Sus scrofa: one gene and its partner. The main gene of each other region encodes a partner of the protein of the gene in region 2 in a complex. Links are inferred from orthologs where the notes say so. Each region holds a gene or a part of one and is shown on either strand. Other genes may lie near its edges. The genes, in order: NUDC and DNAJB1.

Region 1 (7,738 bases), on a different chromosome or scaffold from region 2:
GTCTGTCTATCCTTTTCATGTCAATTTACAAGAGTCCCTGCATATTGAATTGGCTATTAAATTTTATCTGTCCTCTCCATTGCACTTTTTTTTCCCAAATCTACTTCTTTTCAATAGACTTTAGATGTCATTAAGTCTCTTTGGCTACACATTTCCTGTGTTTGAAGAGGCCAACAGCTACCTTTTCTCCTTCAGCTTCCAGATTTTTTTTTTCTTTTTTTTGGTCTTTTTGCCTTTTCTTGAGCCACTCCCACAGCATATGGAGATTCCCAGGCTAGGGGTCAAATCGGAGCCGTAGCCACCGGCCTACGCCAGAGCCACAGCAATCCCAGATCCTTAACCCACTGAGCAAGGTCAGGGATCGAACCCACAACCTCACGGTTCCTAGTCGGATTCATTAACCACTGCACTACGACAGGAACTCCATATAGCTTCCAGATTTCTATCCTTGCCAGGCCTCCTCCACAGAAGACTATACTTAGTTTCCTAGCTTTCCTCAAGAGGTTCTTTTGAGCTGCAATATATTTTTAGATATGAGTAAAACAGATGCTACATTTTTTATAGATAAATAGCCAGTAGTAGCAGCACAACTTATTAAATCATCCTTTGCCTACTGAACTGAATTACCTTACTGGACCCATCTTAAATCCTCATACGTGCAAGACCTTTTTGGGTTCTCTATTCTGCTTCGTTAGTCCATTTGTCTTTTCTCTGTCAGTAACATACTGATGTGATCATTATGACTTTATTCCAATCCATAATTCCTAGCCCCAGACTATAAAAACTAAATGTGCGTTTGTATTTCTCTAAGTTTGTAGCGTGAAGATATTTACAGTCTTCATTATCTCCCACATGGTATAAATATTGATACATATTTCTCTGCGGAAATATTCAAGTTTCATTCCAGGATGCCGCTCCTGACCCCCAGACTGGGGTCCTGCATGTGATGGACAGTATATACTCCGTATGGCCTCCAAAGAGCCAAAGAATTCTATGTCTCAAAATGCTCCTGACCCCAAGAGGTCTGAAAAAGGGACTGTGAACTTGTATTCGCATATGCCAGCCACACTATATTACCTCCTTATATCCTCACAACAGCTCCGTGAGGGAAAGAGCATCCCTGTCTTATAGAAAACCAAGTGAATCGGGAAGTGATTCACCCAACGCTACACAGCTGCCAAGCAGGGAGAGGGGACACCTAGCTCCAGAGCCGAGCTCTTAACCCAAGGACTTGAAAGTGATGTTATCTGGCAGCCCTGCGCACAGTAGGTGCTCAACATAAAGGTGTTAGCGTGTTACCACTGGAGACCAGGTGAGAAGGGTGGACAGGATTCTGCCTGCCTGAGGGTCTGACCAACCTCCTGGGGAAGAGGTGACTCTAAGGAGCACAGCAGGGAGGGTCTAAGAGGGACCAGCAAACATCCAATACGTGGCAGCTACCGTCATCCCTGGGATACTTCTGAGATGTAACGTCTGGATATTGTTCACCTCTCTCCCTTCTGCCTGCTGTCTTACTCAGCCTTCGTACCGCAGGCACCTCTTCCTCAGGAAGTTTTCCTGGAGCCCCCATTTTATGCTCCCAGAACTTGTGCCCTAACACCCATCACTTCTTCACTGTCACACACACACACACACACACACACACACACACAAAACCCAAATCACTTTACCGTATACCTGAAACGAACACAACATTATAAATCAACTAGACTTCGGTTAAAAAAAACAAAAACAAAAAAACCCCCTGCAATTCTCAAATCCTTGAACTTTGGGTCACAAGCATCTGGCAAGACTAGGATTGGTAGGTTTTGATTTTTCCGACATCTGTTTTTCTAAGCTCAGTGTTTTACATTTGCCTGCTCTCATCTCCCAGCTAGGTAATTAGATAAAACCTCCACAGTAGAAAAGAAACCAAGAAGCGTGATGCCAGGGCCAGAAGGCAGTTTTACAACAGACTCTGGTTCCAACCTGTCTCTCATAACTCGGAGCAACGTTCTCCTTTGTAAACGGAGATAGTAACAGCTGCCCCTCTCAAACTGCTAAAGGACCATGGAAAGCAGGGTAGATAAAGCACTTGGCAAGGAAAGGGACTTCAATAAATGACAGTAAATGCTTTCCTTCCCCAACTCTTGCCCTTGGCGTGTTAACTTCTGCGAAAGGTTATTATTATGCCAAAGGAAGGCCAGGTAAGCTCGCCAACACTCACCTTCTCTGCCATCCCCTCTTCTCCTCCAACAAAAAAGTCTGTTTTGCGACGAAGGAAGCTGAAGAAAGTGTTCACAAGCTGAAAGACAGAAGGCAAAAGACTGAAGCTGTAGAGGTGCCATACAGGGAGCCCCTTAACCACACACAAGCAACCTCCTTCACCTAGGAAGGAACTTGGGACTGGACCATTTCAACCCTGAGCCTCCCAACTGGGAAAACATCCCCCCCAACAGCCCTGCCTTAGTTACTTCTGCCAGGAAGCCTAACCTAACCTGATCTAGAGCAACAGAAAGGGAGAATTCTCATTTCTTGTGTATATGCATATGTGTATTTCACATTTTTTGTGATGCTAGAAGCAGCCTGAGGATATGGGGCACTGCATCCAGGTTTGAAATGCCTGGGGCCTAGCTTTCCTCTCCATGTAGCAAAAAGCCCATCCAGAGTGGCGCTGGCTGAGTTACTAGGGCAGAGCTGGAAGGAGAGAACAAAGAAGGCCACTTCAAAGAAGGTTAAGACCCACTAACTCTGGTGTTTTTTTCTTTGAGGGGAGGAGGGAGGTTAGCTACAGAAGCTCCTGGGGCCAGGGATCAAAATCAAGCCACAGCATGGACAACACTGGATCCATAACCACCAGGCCACCAGGGAACTCCAAAACCAGCTAACTCTGGCTGGGTGCATCAGTGCAGTCAAGTTGTTAAGTGCGTCGGTTTGGGAGTTCCCGTTGTGGCTCAGTGCTTATGAACGCAACTAATATTCATGAGGACATGGGTTCGATCCCTGGCCTTGCTCAGTGGGGTAAAGATCGAGCGTTGCAGTGGGCTGTGGTGCAGGTCACAGACATGGCTTGGATCTGGCGTTGCTATGACTGTGGCATAGGCTGGCAGCTGCAGCTCTGATTCAAACCCTAGCCTGTGAACTTCCATATGCCATGGGTGTGGCCCTAAAAAGGAAAAAAAAAAAGAGCATCGTTTTGGCCATTAGATTGATATACATTAGCTCTGTGACCTGGGGACAGTGTCTTAACTCTATGAAACAGAAATAGCAGCAGGACCAATTTCTAGGGATACACGTGAGGATCCTTGAGAGGACCAAAGGAAGACATGCAGGTGAGGTCCTTAATAGCGTCTGGCTAAAGAACCTCGGCCACAGAGAGAGCTCCTCACAAGTAGGCACCATGAACCATGACTCTGTGTACATCCCCAAGGCCTGGCACCAGACCTGGCTCAGAGTGCATGCTCAGAAAACTTTTGCTGAGCAAAAAGATCTAGTGATGACTGAGGGTTGGCACATATAAATAAGCCCTTTTATTTGCCCAAGTGAGAGGTTCTAAATCTGACGCTAGAATTTATCTCAACAGTTTCAATTCCTGCTTCTGGACACTTTTTCAATTCACTCAAAAATGAACTCACTTCCAAATCCAGGTGCAACAACAATTTAGGGGGGTAGGAGAAGGGAGACTTTCACATCTGCAAATTAGTAGCACTCTTCCCACAGGGACCTGAATGAGAATGGGAATGGAAGGCTCCAATGAGACACAGAATCAACAATGGACTGTGGAAAGCACACACTGGCCTAAGGATTCTGGTCCCCTCTAAGCCAGGAGCCTGTTGGATGAGCTTGGGCAAGCTCCTTCAGTTTCTTTAAAGAAAGACTAATCTTGATAGGTTTTGCTACGTTTAACTTTCCATCGTCCAAAAAACCAACTCCAGAATCTTTACTAGTTGGTCCTTATCCTTTTCCTACACATGTTATTGGGTTTGGTCACTAAGCATGAATTATGTTCTTGCACACATCAATTACTCAACAAACACTTGTTGAATGTTCGAGTCTGATTACCGAGAATTCTTCACTGTCCTTCACTTCAAGACACTACTCTCCTACAAATTCAGGAAGTAAGGATTCGTAGCTCTGTCTCAAAGAAAGAAACTGAAGCTTGGAGACATGAAACAGTCCAAGTTGTTAGGAAATGCAAAACACGCCTCCTATTCTCTCATTCAAGATCTAGAAAGACCACGTGTTAATATCACCCCCCCCACCCCCACACATCGCATACATTCTTCCGCTCGCCCCAAGTCTTGGTACATGCAAATCTCAATGCCTAGAACATCCTAAAGGATGTTCTTTGGGGGCGGCCACCAGAGGGGAAAAGGGCCGGAAGCAGGTTGGAGACTAAAGAGGGGGAAGGGATTCCAAGACTCGGGCCTTCCCAGGGGCAGATAAAGGGATGCCAGAGCTGTTAAGATGGTAACTACTGAGGGGCCCCAGGGATCCAGAACTGGTCCGAGCGCAAGACTTGCGGCGGGGAGGCCAGACTAGAAGCTGGGGTGCAATGAGAATGCGGGATCCTAAAGCCCGCAAGGCCCAGGGGTGGATCTCGTCTCTCGAAGGCAGCGAAGGGAGGAAAGAGAGTGGCTGGGCCGCCTGGGTGGGCCAGGCCAAGCCAATGCCGAGCGGGTCGTTACCTCCTGCACGCCTCCCTCGTGCTGCTGCGCCATCGCCAACAACATGCCGTCGAAACGATCCTCCTCCTGGTCTCCACCCATCTTGCCAGCTGCTAGCCACGCTCCGAAATCTGAGCTCTGCTCTCGCGTCCCGCGCTCTCGGCGCCTTCGGGTCGCGTCCGGTGCAACGGTTTCAGTCCTCCGCCTTCCGCAGCGGAGACGGAAACACGCACGCGCCCCGCTGCCTTGGCCCGCCCGCCTGCTCTCTCCTCCCGCCTCCCTTGTGGCCAGCGGCCATTGACCGTGCGGCAAGCAGCCCGCTTCACTGACCATTGGTCGACTTGCTGAGCCAATCAAAGAGCGCGTCCGTGAGCGGTGGGCGGAGTCGAAGGCCTCTGAGTTTGGTGTGAGTTGCTATGGTCACCAGGAACCTTTTGGAGCCTTCCAGAAAACCCTGGGCTCAAATCACGCGGGCCTGAAAGTTGAAAAAGCACAAACTTTGAATTTACGCCTTGAGAGTGACCGCTGAGCTTGTAGAACGGTAAAGCGTTCTTAATCATCTCTTCCAAGTTTTCCATCGGCCAACTGAGGCCCAGAAAGGAGAAGGGAACTTGCCCCAAAAGACAGCCTACCCCTGTTGTCATCACATACTCCATACAAATTGTGCAGTCGCAGGGGACCCGGACTTAGAAAGTCCCTTGGTGCTGGGGTTAATGCTCTTCTGCTGCAGTCCTGAGACTCTTAATATTTTTTAACAAGAGCCCCACCCCCAACCCCGCATTGTCATTTTGCGCAGTTTCATGCAAATTATGTAATGAGTGCTAAATTCGAACTTCACTTTTGTGCGGGACAGACCCCAGCCATCTAAGGCCAAACCCTCTACTTTTGTATTGAATTTCATCATCTTAGTCTTTTCAGGGATTCTACTCTTACTATCCTTTCCTAATTCTCCTGCATCAGAATTTTTTTTTTTCCCTACTCAATGAATCTGCATCACAATTTTCTTTCTTCTGGATCATCCCTTTTAACTTACAAATATACTTTAATGCCACTTCTTTTTTTATTCTTCTATGACCCCCCCACACAAACTTTTCTCCTCCTACCATTCCAATTTTATTTTTTTATTTTTTATTTTATTTTATTTTTTGTCTTTTTGCCTTTTCTTGAGCCGTTCCTGCGGCACATGGAGTCCAATCAGAGCTATAGCCACCGTCCTACGCCAGAGCTACAGCATCGCAAGATCCAAGCTGCATCTGCGACCCACGCCACAGCTCACTGCAACACCGGATCCTTAACCCACTGAGCAAGGCCAGGGATCGAACCCGCAACCTCATGGTTCCTAGTCAGATTCGTTAAGCACTGAGCTTCGATGGGAACTCCTATCCCAATTTTAAAATCTCTTTGACAGCAAAACTTGAAAAAAATTTGCTATACTTGTTTCTCCACTTCCTCACCTTCCGTCTCTCCTCGATTTACTCTGGTCTTTACTTAAGACTCTGACCAAGGATACAATGACCTACTTATTGCCAAAACCAGTAAAGCACTATTACAGTGCTCAGCTTCTCAGCTGCATTTGACACAGTTGACCTCTTCTTCCTTCTAGAAACAATTTTTTCCCTAGTCTTCTGTTATGGATGGAACTGTATTCCTCCATTATTCTTATATTGAAACCCTAACTCTCTTTGGAATTCCCACCGCGGCTCAGCAGAAACAAATCTGACTAGTTTCTGTGAAGACGCAGGTTTGATCCCTGGCCTCACTCAGTGGGTTAAGGATCCAGTATTGCCATGAGCTGTGGTATAGGTCCCAGATGAGGTTCTGATCCGGAGTTGCTGTAGCTATGGCCTAGGCCGGTGGCTACAGCTCAGATTCGACCCCTAGCCTGAAACCTCCATGTGCCACAATTCTGCCCTAAAGAGCCAAAAAAAAAAAAAAAAAAATTAAGAAGAAACCCTTACTCCCAGTGTGACTGTTTTTTGGAAATAGGGGTATTTAAACATGTAATTAGAGTTAATTCATACAGATGTGGCCCTAATCCAAAATAGTTAGTGTCCTTACTAGAAGAGAAAGAAAACCCAGGGACTCACGAGCAAGCGGAGGAAAGGCCACGTGAGGCAGCTATGTGCAAGCCAAAAAGAGAAGCCTCAGAGGAAAGCAAACCTGCCAACATCTTGATCTTGGACTTCCAGGTTTGGAGAACTGTAATAAAATTAACTACTGTTGTCAAGTCAGTCTGTAATAGTTTGTTATGGCAGCCCTAGCAGACTGACAGAGTTTGCACGTCCTCACACTTACATGGTTTTCTTCCCACTTCACTAACTCTCCTTCTCCGTGTTCTGATCTACCCAGGTTTATAAATGTTGGGGGCTCTGTCCTTTACCCTCTCCTCTTTTCCTCTCTATTTATACTCATGGTACCTCACCCAGACATTTCCTGAGTGCCAGGACCATCTCTTTACCTACCTCCTGGACAGCGCCCCTGGACAACTCCACTTGGATAATTAACAGATATTCCAAAACTCATCCAAGGCTGGTGAATGGATGGTGGAAATGATGGCACATCAATGTGAATGTATTTAATGCCACTGAACTATAAACTTAAAAATGGTTAAAATGGGGAGTTCCCACTGTGGCACAGTGGGTTAAGAATCCAGCTGCAGCGGTTTGGGTTACTGGCCCGGGCACGTCCATATGTCGTGGGTGCAGCCCTAAAATGAAAAAAAAGAAAAAAAGTTAAAATGGTAAATGTACTGTTATGGTTTTTTTTTTTTTTCTTTTTAGGGCCGAAATTGTGACACAAGGAAGTTCTCAGGCTAGGGATCAAATCAAACCGCAGTTGCCAGCTGCACATCAGATCCGAGGCACATCTGTGACCTATGCCATGGTGCATGGCAACACTGGATCCTTAACCCAGTGATCAAGGCCAGGGATCGAACTGACATCCTCATGCATACTAGTCAGGTTCTTAACCCACTGAACCACAACAGGAACTCCTGTTATGTATATTTAAACACAATAACAATACTTTTATGAGACAATTTCAAATTTGAACTCTTAATGGATATTCTATAATATCTGAAAATTATTGGAGTT
Region 2 (7,886 bases):
CATAGCCACAAGAAGAAATGTTGAGGTTTTTTGTTTTTTGTTTCTGCGGGGGGGGGGGCAGTTCTTAAACAAAACTTCCTGAATATGACCCAGGCTTATTCAAGGAAGGAGAGTTCCCAGACCTAAGATTGCCTTCATTTTTTAAACATAAGGACACAGCTTGCATGATGTTTTGGCCTACCCAGAGCTATGTGAAGACCTTCGGAGGCCCCCACATTTGTAACTCTAAGTTAAGTTTATAAGTGTGAGGAAGTCCACAAGCTCTGGGTTTTTCCCCATGATGACTCCCCTGTTACCTATTTATGTAACTTAAAAAAAAAAAAATCAGGTGTTCCTGTCATGGTTCAGTGGTTAAAGAACCTGACCAGTATCCATGAGGACTCGGGTTTGATCCCTGGCCTCTTTCAGTAAGTTAAGGATCCAGCATTGCTGTGAGCTGTGGTGTAGGTTGCAGATGTGGCTAGGATCCCGCAGCTGTGGCTGTGGTGTAGGCAGGCAGCTACAGCTCCAATTCGACCCCTAGCCAGGGAACTTCCATATGCCTTGGGTGTGAAAAAAAAATCAAACTCTCTCCCCTCCATGATTGGTTCAGGACCCCTACCATGCTGTGCCCCTGGGCACCCAGGCTAAGATGCATCCTCCCAGGTCAGCTGCTATGTGTCCTAGTCCAGAGACCTTACTGATATGGCTACCCTAGAGTCAGTGAACGGCCAGAATACCCCTGCTAGATAGCAGGGAAAGGACATGGTTGTCTTTCTCAGGAGTTCCAGCCTGGGCAGTAGTTACTAGAAGCTTTTTGCTGAGGTGCTGCCAGGAAAGGGATGGCCCAGCAGCCCACCATTCAACCAGATGATTAGTCACCACTTTGACAGCACTTCCTCTAGGCCAGGCCTGTCTTGGGCACTTTACAAATGTTGACTCAATGTCAATTTCAAAGCCCTATGAGGCAGGTACAACTACAACTCCCATTGTACACATGAAGAGGCTAAGGCCCTGGAAGGCTCAGTCACCAGCCCAAGGGGTTTCACAGCCAGGAAGTGCTGTAACCAAGAATGAAAATCTGGCTGTCTGGCTGCAGAGCCAGTGTCACACTGCCTGGATCTCCCAAGCAGTTCTTCCAGGAACCTCTCCCCTTCACAGGCCACCACCACCTATCCCTTCTTCCCTATTCCCTTCTCAGGCTGTACTCCTTTCAGAGCCTCCTTTCCCTATCAGCCTTGTCCTTGACCACAGACTTTCCCCAGACTCTGAAAGCCAAAAGGGATCATGTTGCCTGCCGATGAGGAAGCAGAGGCTCTGAGAGGTGTATGCCACACCCATGTCTCCCCGAAATCATAAAGGTAGTGGGGAGAGAAAAAGAAGCAGGTGCATTAAAAATAGCCAGGAATAGGAGTTCCCATTGTGGCTCAGCAGTAACAAATCCGACTAGCATCCATGAGAATTCTGGTTCAACCCCTGGCCTCACTTAGTGGGTTAAGGACCAGGCATTGCCATGAGGTGTGGCACGTAGGTGACAGATATGGCACGGATCTGGTGTTGCTGCGGCTGTGTCAAGGCCTGCGGCTGCAGCTCCAATTCAAGCCCTAGCCTGGGAACTTCTATATGCCGCAGCTGTGGCCCTTAAAAAAAAAAAAAGCCAGAACTAGAAAGTTCCCATGTGGCACAGAAGTTAAGGATCCCAAGTTGCTGTAGCGCAGCACTGGTGGCAACGGGAGTGCAGTGTTTTTATGCTTTTTTTTTTTTTTTATCTTTTTAGGGCCACACCCTCGGCATATGGAGGTTCCCAGGCTAGGGGTCCAGTTGGAGCTACAGCTGCTGGCATGCACCACAGCTACAGCAACATCAGATCCAAGCCACCTCTGCAACCTACACCAAAGCTCACTGCAATGCCAAATCCTTAACTCATTAAGCAAGGCCAGGGATGGAATCCGCAACCTCATGGTTCCTAGTTACACGATGGGAACTCGTGGAGTGCAGGTTCAGTCCTTGGCCAGGGAACTTCTATATGCCGCCTGTGGCCAAACAAATAAAAAAACATAGCCGGGAATATTTAGGAAGAGTCAGACTGTTCTGACACTGAGACTCAGCACTGACAGAGGTCAGGCCCTGCTCTGATAGTGATCAAAGGCTGGGGGGGGGGTGACATTTAGCATGAAAACCAAGGAACAAGATAATTCCAAATTTCAGTGGGAGGTATTCTTGAGAAAATGGTAATAAAGCAAAAGGCTTGAGGGGTTAGACTGAGGAGACCTCTCCAGGGAGGTAAGCTTTGGTCCAGGGTCCTTGGCTCGCTTTACAGGGTCGGTATGGGTGAGGAGAGGGACAGTTCTGGGGCTCCCAACACTGAGGGTGAGTGGGGTTTTTTTTTTTGTTTTTGGTTTTTTTTTTTGCTTTTTGGGGCCCCACCCGCGGCACATGGCTCCACCCGATCAAATCCACAACCTCATGTCTCCCAGTCGGATGCGATTCCGCTGCGCCACGACCGGTAGGGGGGTATTTTTATTCCCGGATGGAAGCAGGTATCTGGGACAAGGAGCGATTAGGCAACTAGCCTTGAATCACCTGGCGTAAACTGATTCTCCCGCCCAGCGAGATGGGGGAAGGAAGCACCTCCTAGGGGAAGGGCGGGGCCTTTCGCAGCCCGGGGCCTTTCGCAGCCCCGCCCTACTCGAAGCACCGCATTTTTTTTTTTTTTTTTTTTTTTTTTTGTCTCCTCTAGGGCCGCACTGAGACATATGGAGATTTCCAGGCTAGGGGGTCCAATCGGAGCTGTAGCCGCCAGCCTGCGCCAGAGCCACAGCAACGCGGGATCCGAACCACGTCTGCGACCTACACCACAGCTCACGGAATCCCTGGATCCTTAACCCACTGAGCGAGGACAGGGATCCTAGTCAGATTCGTTAACCACTGAGCCAAGACTGGAACATCGAAGCACCCGCACTTTAACCTGTTGACCCAGGCAGGGGCGGAGTACGCGGCAGGCCCGGTCCCCGGAAGCACTGAAGCAAGGTCGCTATTGGTTCCCTCAGAGAGTGGGCGGGGCCTCAGACGCCCAGTGCCCGCGCTGCGGCGAAGCGTTGCCTAGGGCGGAGCGGGAAGGGGTGTGGCCACGCGCGGGCAGCCGTTGGCGGCGCGTCCCCGCCCCGGATGTCGCGCGTCGCAACCTGGGCAGCGACGATTGGTCGGAGCCGCGTGGGGGGCGGGGCGGAAGGTTCTGGAGGGGGCTGGCGGGCTCTGGAAGCTTCCGCCGGACGGGTATATAGAGTCCGGGACGGGGCGGTGGCGGAGCCGGGGTACGGCGACAGCTGGGCGGCAGGCCGCAGGCGGGGGCAATGGGCAAAGACTATTATCAGACGCTGGGCCTGGCCCGCGGTGCCTCGGACGAGGAGATCAAGAGAGCCTACCGCCGTCAAGCGCTGCGTTACCACCCGGACAAGAACAAGGAGCCCGGCGCCGAGGAGAAGTTCAAGGAGATCGCCGAGGCCTACGACGTGCTCAGCGACCCGCGCAAGCGCGAGATCTTCGACCGCTACGGGGAGGAAGGTGTGTGCGCGCGCGCAACTGGGGGTGCGCCACCGCTGTTTGACAGGCGGAGAGATCGAGGCACTGCGGTACCCCGGCGGCGTCCCCGGGGTAGCGCTAAGGGACCGGGGGACGAGCAGCCCCCGCCTTTTGGCCAAACAGGCCTCCGCCCTCGATTGGCGGCCTCCCGATGGGAGGAGGAGTCCTGGCCGCGCTGCTCGCCCAGAAGCTTCTAGTATGTCTGGGGCCGCCCGTCTCCGCCCACGTCCGCGATCCGTCGGTGGGGGAGAGGGTGCAGAAGGAGAGGGGGTAGAGTGCGCAGCCTTGATGATGGCGCTGCGGCCCCTCGGGCGCTGGGCTCACCTGGGCGAGGTGAGAGCCTCTGCCAGCCCAGGGTGCAGGGCGAGGCCTCTGGCTGAGCGCCGGGCGCAGGCTGCTTGCAGTGAGCTTGCAAATGAGAGTGCCAATTAGCGCCCAGCGACCTCCCGGGCGTCTTTGAGGGTGGAGTGAGGTAATCCCTGTAAAATGCTTACCTAGCCCCGTGCCAGACACGTAGTCGGTGGTCAAGGTGCAAGGAGCAGTAGGGCCCGCCTCTGCCCGGCCTCACCAGGATAGCTCTCTTGGGGAGGCGGGGGAGCGGGAGGAGAAGCTTTCTTGTTGTCCAGCTGCCTGTTGATGACTCAGATTGGTTTCTCGGTTTGGTCTTAAGAAAGAAATGACTTTTTATATATAAGAATGGTGGCACTTAGTGTCAGAGCGTGAGAATTTGAAATCTCCGATTGCTGTTTCACCTTCATTTCTACTCTCCCTACAGTCTCTAGCTCTAAAGTATTTCAGAGTAAACATTTGGTGAAAACTGACCCTGGATCACACCTTTTTCATTGGCTGTCTTGAGTTCTTTGTACTCCTTGTAACATTGTAGGAAAGATGGGTCACTCAAATGTGAAGACCTAGGTGGTGGCCCCAAGAGATGGCCATCTTAGAGCTCGAGCCCGTCTCCACTGTCAGGCCACAGTGAACTAACTACCTGTGGGTGATGGTGGTTCTGTTTTTGAGACTGCAAGTGGGAAGAAAAAGCTTGGAGTTCCTCCTTGCTCTTTCCTGACAGCCAAAAAAAGAAAAAAAAATTCTTCCTTGATGGCTCTCAACTCTTTTTTTCCCCTCAAGGAAAGCTCCTAGAGAGAAAAGGTCCTGGCCAGCCATCTGATTTCTTTTGCTTTTGCATTTCAGGCCTGAAGGGTGGTGGCCCAAGTGGTGGGAGCAGCGGTGCTAACGGGACCTCTTTCAGCTACACATTCCATGGAGACCCTCATGCCATGTTTGCTGAGTTCTTCGGTGGCCGAAATCCCTTTGACACCTTCTTTGGGCAGCGCAACGGGGAGGAAGGCATGGACATTGATGACCCGTTTTCTGGCTTCCCCATGGGCATGGGTGGCTTCACCACTGCAAACTTTGGCCGCTCCCGCCCTGCACAAGAACCCACCCGAAAGAAGCAAGATCCCCCCGTCACCCATGACCTTAGGGTTTCACTTGAAGAGATCTATAGCGGCTGTACCAAGAAAATGAAAATCTCTCATAAGCGGCTGAACCCCGATGGAAAGAGCATTCGCAACGAAGACAAAATCTTGACCATCGAAGTGAAGCGGGGGTGGAAAGAAGGGACCAAAATCACCTTCCCCAAGGAAGGAGACCAGACCTCCAACAACATTCCAGCCGACATTGTCTTTGTTTTAAAGGACAAGCCACACAATATTTTTAAGAGAGATGGCTCTGATGTCATTTACCCAGCCAGGATTACCCTTCGGGAGGTAAGGCACTAGGCAGGGCAGTGTCTGTGGAGGGAGAAGGCTGCCTTTGGAAGCAGTTCTGTATTTTGCTTAACAGATATTTCTGAGCACTTGGTGTATGCCAGGCTTGGGGCGTGCAGTAACAGTAAGACTCTCCAAGGCTCTGTTTTTCCAGAGCTTCTGTGCTGTACCTGGGTAGATTGGGGCAGGGTCAGCTGCAAAGGCCTGATGGCATTTATCCTCCACTAAATAGCCTCTGGGCAGGATGTGAGCTTTCTAAGCTTCTTGCAATCTAATGCTGTCCCTTTGCTTTCCAAGGCTTTGTGTGGCTGTACAGTGAACGTCCCCACTCTGGACGGCAGGACCATACCCGTTGTGTTCAAAGATGTCATCAGGCCTGGCATGCGGCGAAAAGTTCCTGGAGAAGGCCTCCCTCTTCCCAAAACACCTGAGAAACGCGGGGACCTCATTATTGAGTTTGAAGTAATCTTCCCTGAGAGGATTCCCCAGACCTCAAGAACCGTCCTTGAGCAGGTTCTTCCGGTATAATCACCCATGTTCCCCAAGGACTGACCAGGGACCTTTCCAGAGCTCAAGGATTTCTGGACCGTTCCACCAGTTGTGGATCCGCGAGAGTGTGGGAGGGCCCAGGGAGGGCTTTCGTACTGCTGAATGTTTTCCAGAGAATATATTACAATCTTTCAAAGTCGTGCACTAGACTAAAGTGGTTTTTCGAGCGATAGGGCGGCAGGTGGTGGGGACAGCAGGAGAAGGCAGTTCGGTCTGCCCCACTGGGTCCTGCAGCCCTTGAGGATGGGCCCACACCTTCCTCCTCCAGGCCCTGCCCAGGGCGAGAGGCAGACCCACAGCTGGACTTGAACTCTCTGTAGTCCCTTTGCTTGCGGATGTTAGATGTGTCGACCTCCCATCTTGGTTACCAGACCCTGTACACTCCTGTTTCTGTTGTGTGATCAGTTCATGTTTTATTCTGTATTTGTCTCCCACATCTTGCTCTTCCCCTGAAGAATCCTGTTTTCTCTTTTGCCATCTCAAATTGAGAACCTAGACTATTTTGCAGAACTGCCTGGCCGGCTCCCATAAGCAATACCTCTTGTTCCAGCAGGACCAAGGGAGCCAGCCTCCAGTAAGTGAATAATGTGCAGCTGCCTCTCCCTCAAGGGTCGGAGGCCCTGGCTGGAGCGGGGGGCCCTCTCAACCCCTGGTTCTGAGGCTGAGTACACTCACCTTCCTGTTCTTTAAGGCAATCTTTTGGCACACCTGGGATTTACCAGCGGCCCAGGTAATTTTTGTTTAATGGACTCTGGACTCTCTCAAAAGGATCTAATCCTTTTGAATTTTGCACAGCCCTAGATATAATCCCTTTTGATAAAAGGGTCTTTGCTTCTGATTACAGGAGCACTGTGGAACGTCTGTAAATATGTTTTTATAATTCCATGTAAAGTTGGTGTGCACTCAAATGAAACCAGTCCACAGCAGCTGCTGTTCTCTGTATAGGGCCATGATGGAATTCAGAAGGAAACTTGGTGGTGGGGTGGGGGTGGGGAGGGTGTCGGAACAAATGTCTGTTCCCTACAGGCCAGTCTGGTGCTCAGACCTTTAGACTCATTGTAAGTTGCCACTGCCAACACAAGACCAAAGTGTGTGACTTGTCAATGTGCAGCGTGACAGCATTAAAGACTGATGCTAAACCTCAGGGGAGCAGTCCTGCGACTCTGTTTGAGGGCTCTGCTGATGGGCTGGGGTGGAGTCTGGGCATCCCTCCAAAGGCAGCCAGGGTAGGTGGGAGGGAGAGGTTGTCAGGAGCTTCTGCCTTCCTCAGCTGGATGTGGGCTGCACAACATCAACCCACTGGACCCTGGATCTAGGTATCCAAAGAGCCCTGTGGATTCAGAGCTTGTGTTTTTGGTGAAGGTTGGGGCCAGAGTTAAGCAGGTCCTCTTTCAGGTCTTCCAAGATCTGGTTGCTGGGACCTAGGGGAGGTGTATACTCTACCTTCATGATCTCCCCCATTCCTTTCTTGCTAGAACAAGCTGGTGTTGGGCAGGCCCTGGCCAAACCAGGTTAGGATTCCAGCTGCCCTGGAGAAGACCTATTTTATTTGCAGGCCACTGAAACTGCTTTTACTTTGTAACTTTTAGTAAGGACCTGGTTTTATTATAAGGTAAGTGATTATACAGGCAGAAAACAACCTATTGCTATTTTGCTACAAAACATCTTAAAAGTAAAAACACCATATTTAACCAATCTAGGAGTGGCTTTGCCTTCCCACTGAAGCAGTTTAACTACTGAAAGCAGTCTAAGGGCAGTGCTGTCCAAGAGAACTTTCTTCAGTGATAGGAATGTTCTCTGTCTTTAAAACAGACATTCTTAAAGATTTCAAGTTAAGTTGCTTGAGAGCTCCAGCCACACGTGGCTTGCAGAGGCTATGGCATAACACAGAGGGCTTTAACCCCAAATCCAAGACAGGTCTCTTAGGACAGCAGCCACGTTGAGCCCAGAAAGGCTGTCCTATTTGGGAGGTCACCCCTGGACTATCAGAACCAAAAGAGACCTTAT

Evidence for each region.
Region 1: the proteins of DNAJB1 (region 2) and NUDC are in contact, whole or in part, in a crystal structure (PDB 7NDX), measured with the Homo sapiens proteins. The link is inferred for Sus scrofa from reciprocal best matches to the Homo sapiens genes DNAJB1 and NUDC. Residues at the interface, in NP_006136.1 of Homo sapiens: His166, Lys181, Lys182, Met183, Lys184, Ile185, Ser186, Asp201, Lys202, Ile203, Ile235, Phe237; in NP_006591.1 of Homo sapiens: Pro102, Gln103, Ile104, Lys105, Glu106, Leu107, Ala112, Leu115, Gln116, Ile119.

Annotation. Positions count from the first base shown.
Region 1 is NC_010448.4:84,235,813-84,243,550, reverse strand, and holds the start of NUDC (nuclear migration protein nudC), read right to left. Parts: upstream 4,857-7,738; 5' UTR 4,749-4,856; coding exon 4,668-4,748; intron 2,285-4,667; coding exon 2,207-2,284; intron 1-2,206. UniProt on the Homo sapiens protein: Plays a role in neurogenesis and neuronal migration. Necessary for correct formation of mitotic spindles and chromosome separation during mitosis. Necessary for cytokinesis and cell proliferation.
Region 2 is NC_010444.4:64,758,464-64,766,349, forward strand, and holds DNAJB1 (dnaJ homolog subfamily B member 1), read left to right. Parts: upstream 1-3,208; 5' UTR 3,209-3,332; coding exon 3,333-3,543; intron 3,544-4,752; coding exon 4,753-5,330; intron 5,331-5,627; coding exon 5,628-5,858; 3' UTR 5,859-6,019; downstream 6,020-7,886. UniProt on the Homo sapiens protein: Interacts with HSP70 and can stimulate its ATPase activity. Stimulates the association between HSC70 and HIP. Negatively regulates heat shock-induced HSF1 transcriptional activity during the attenuation and recovery phase period of the heat shock response.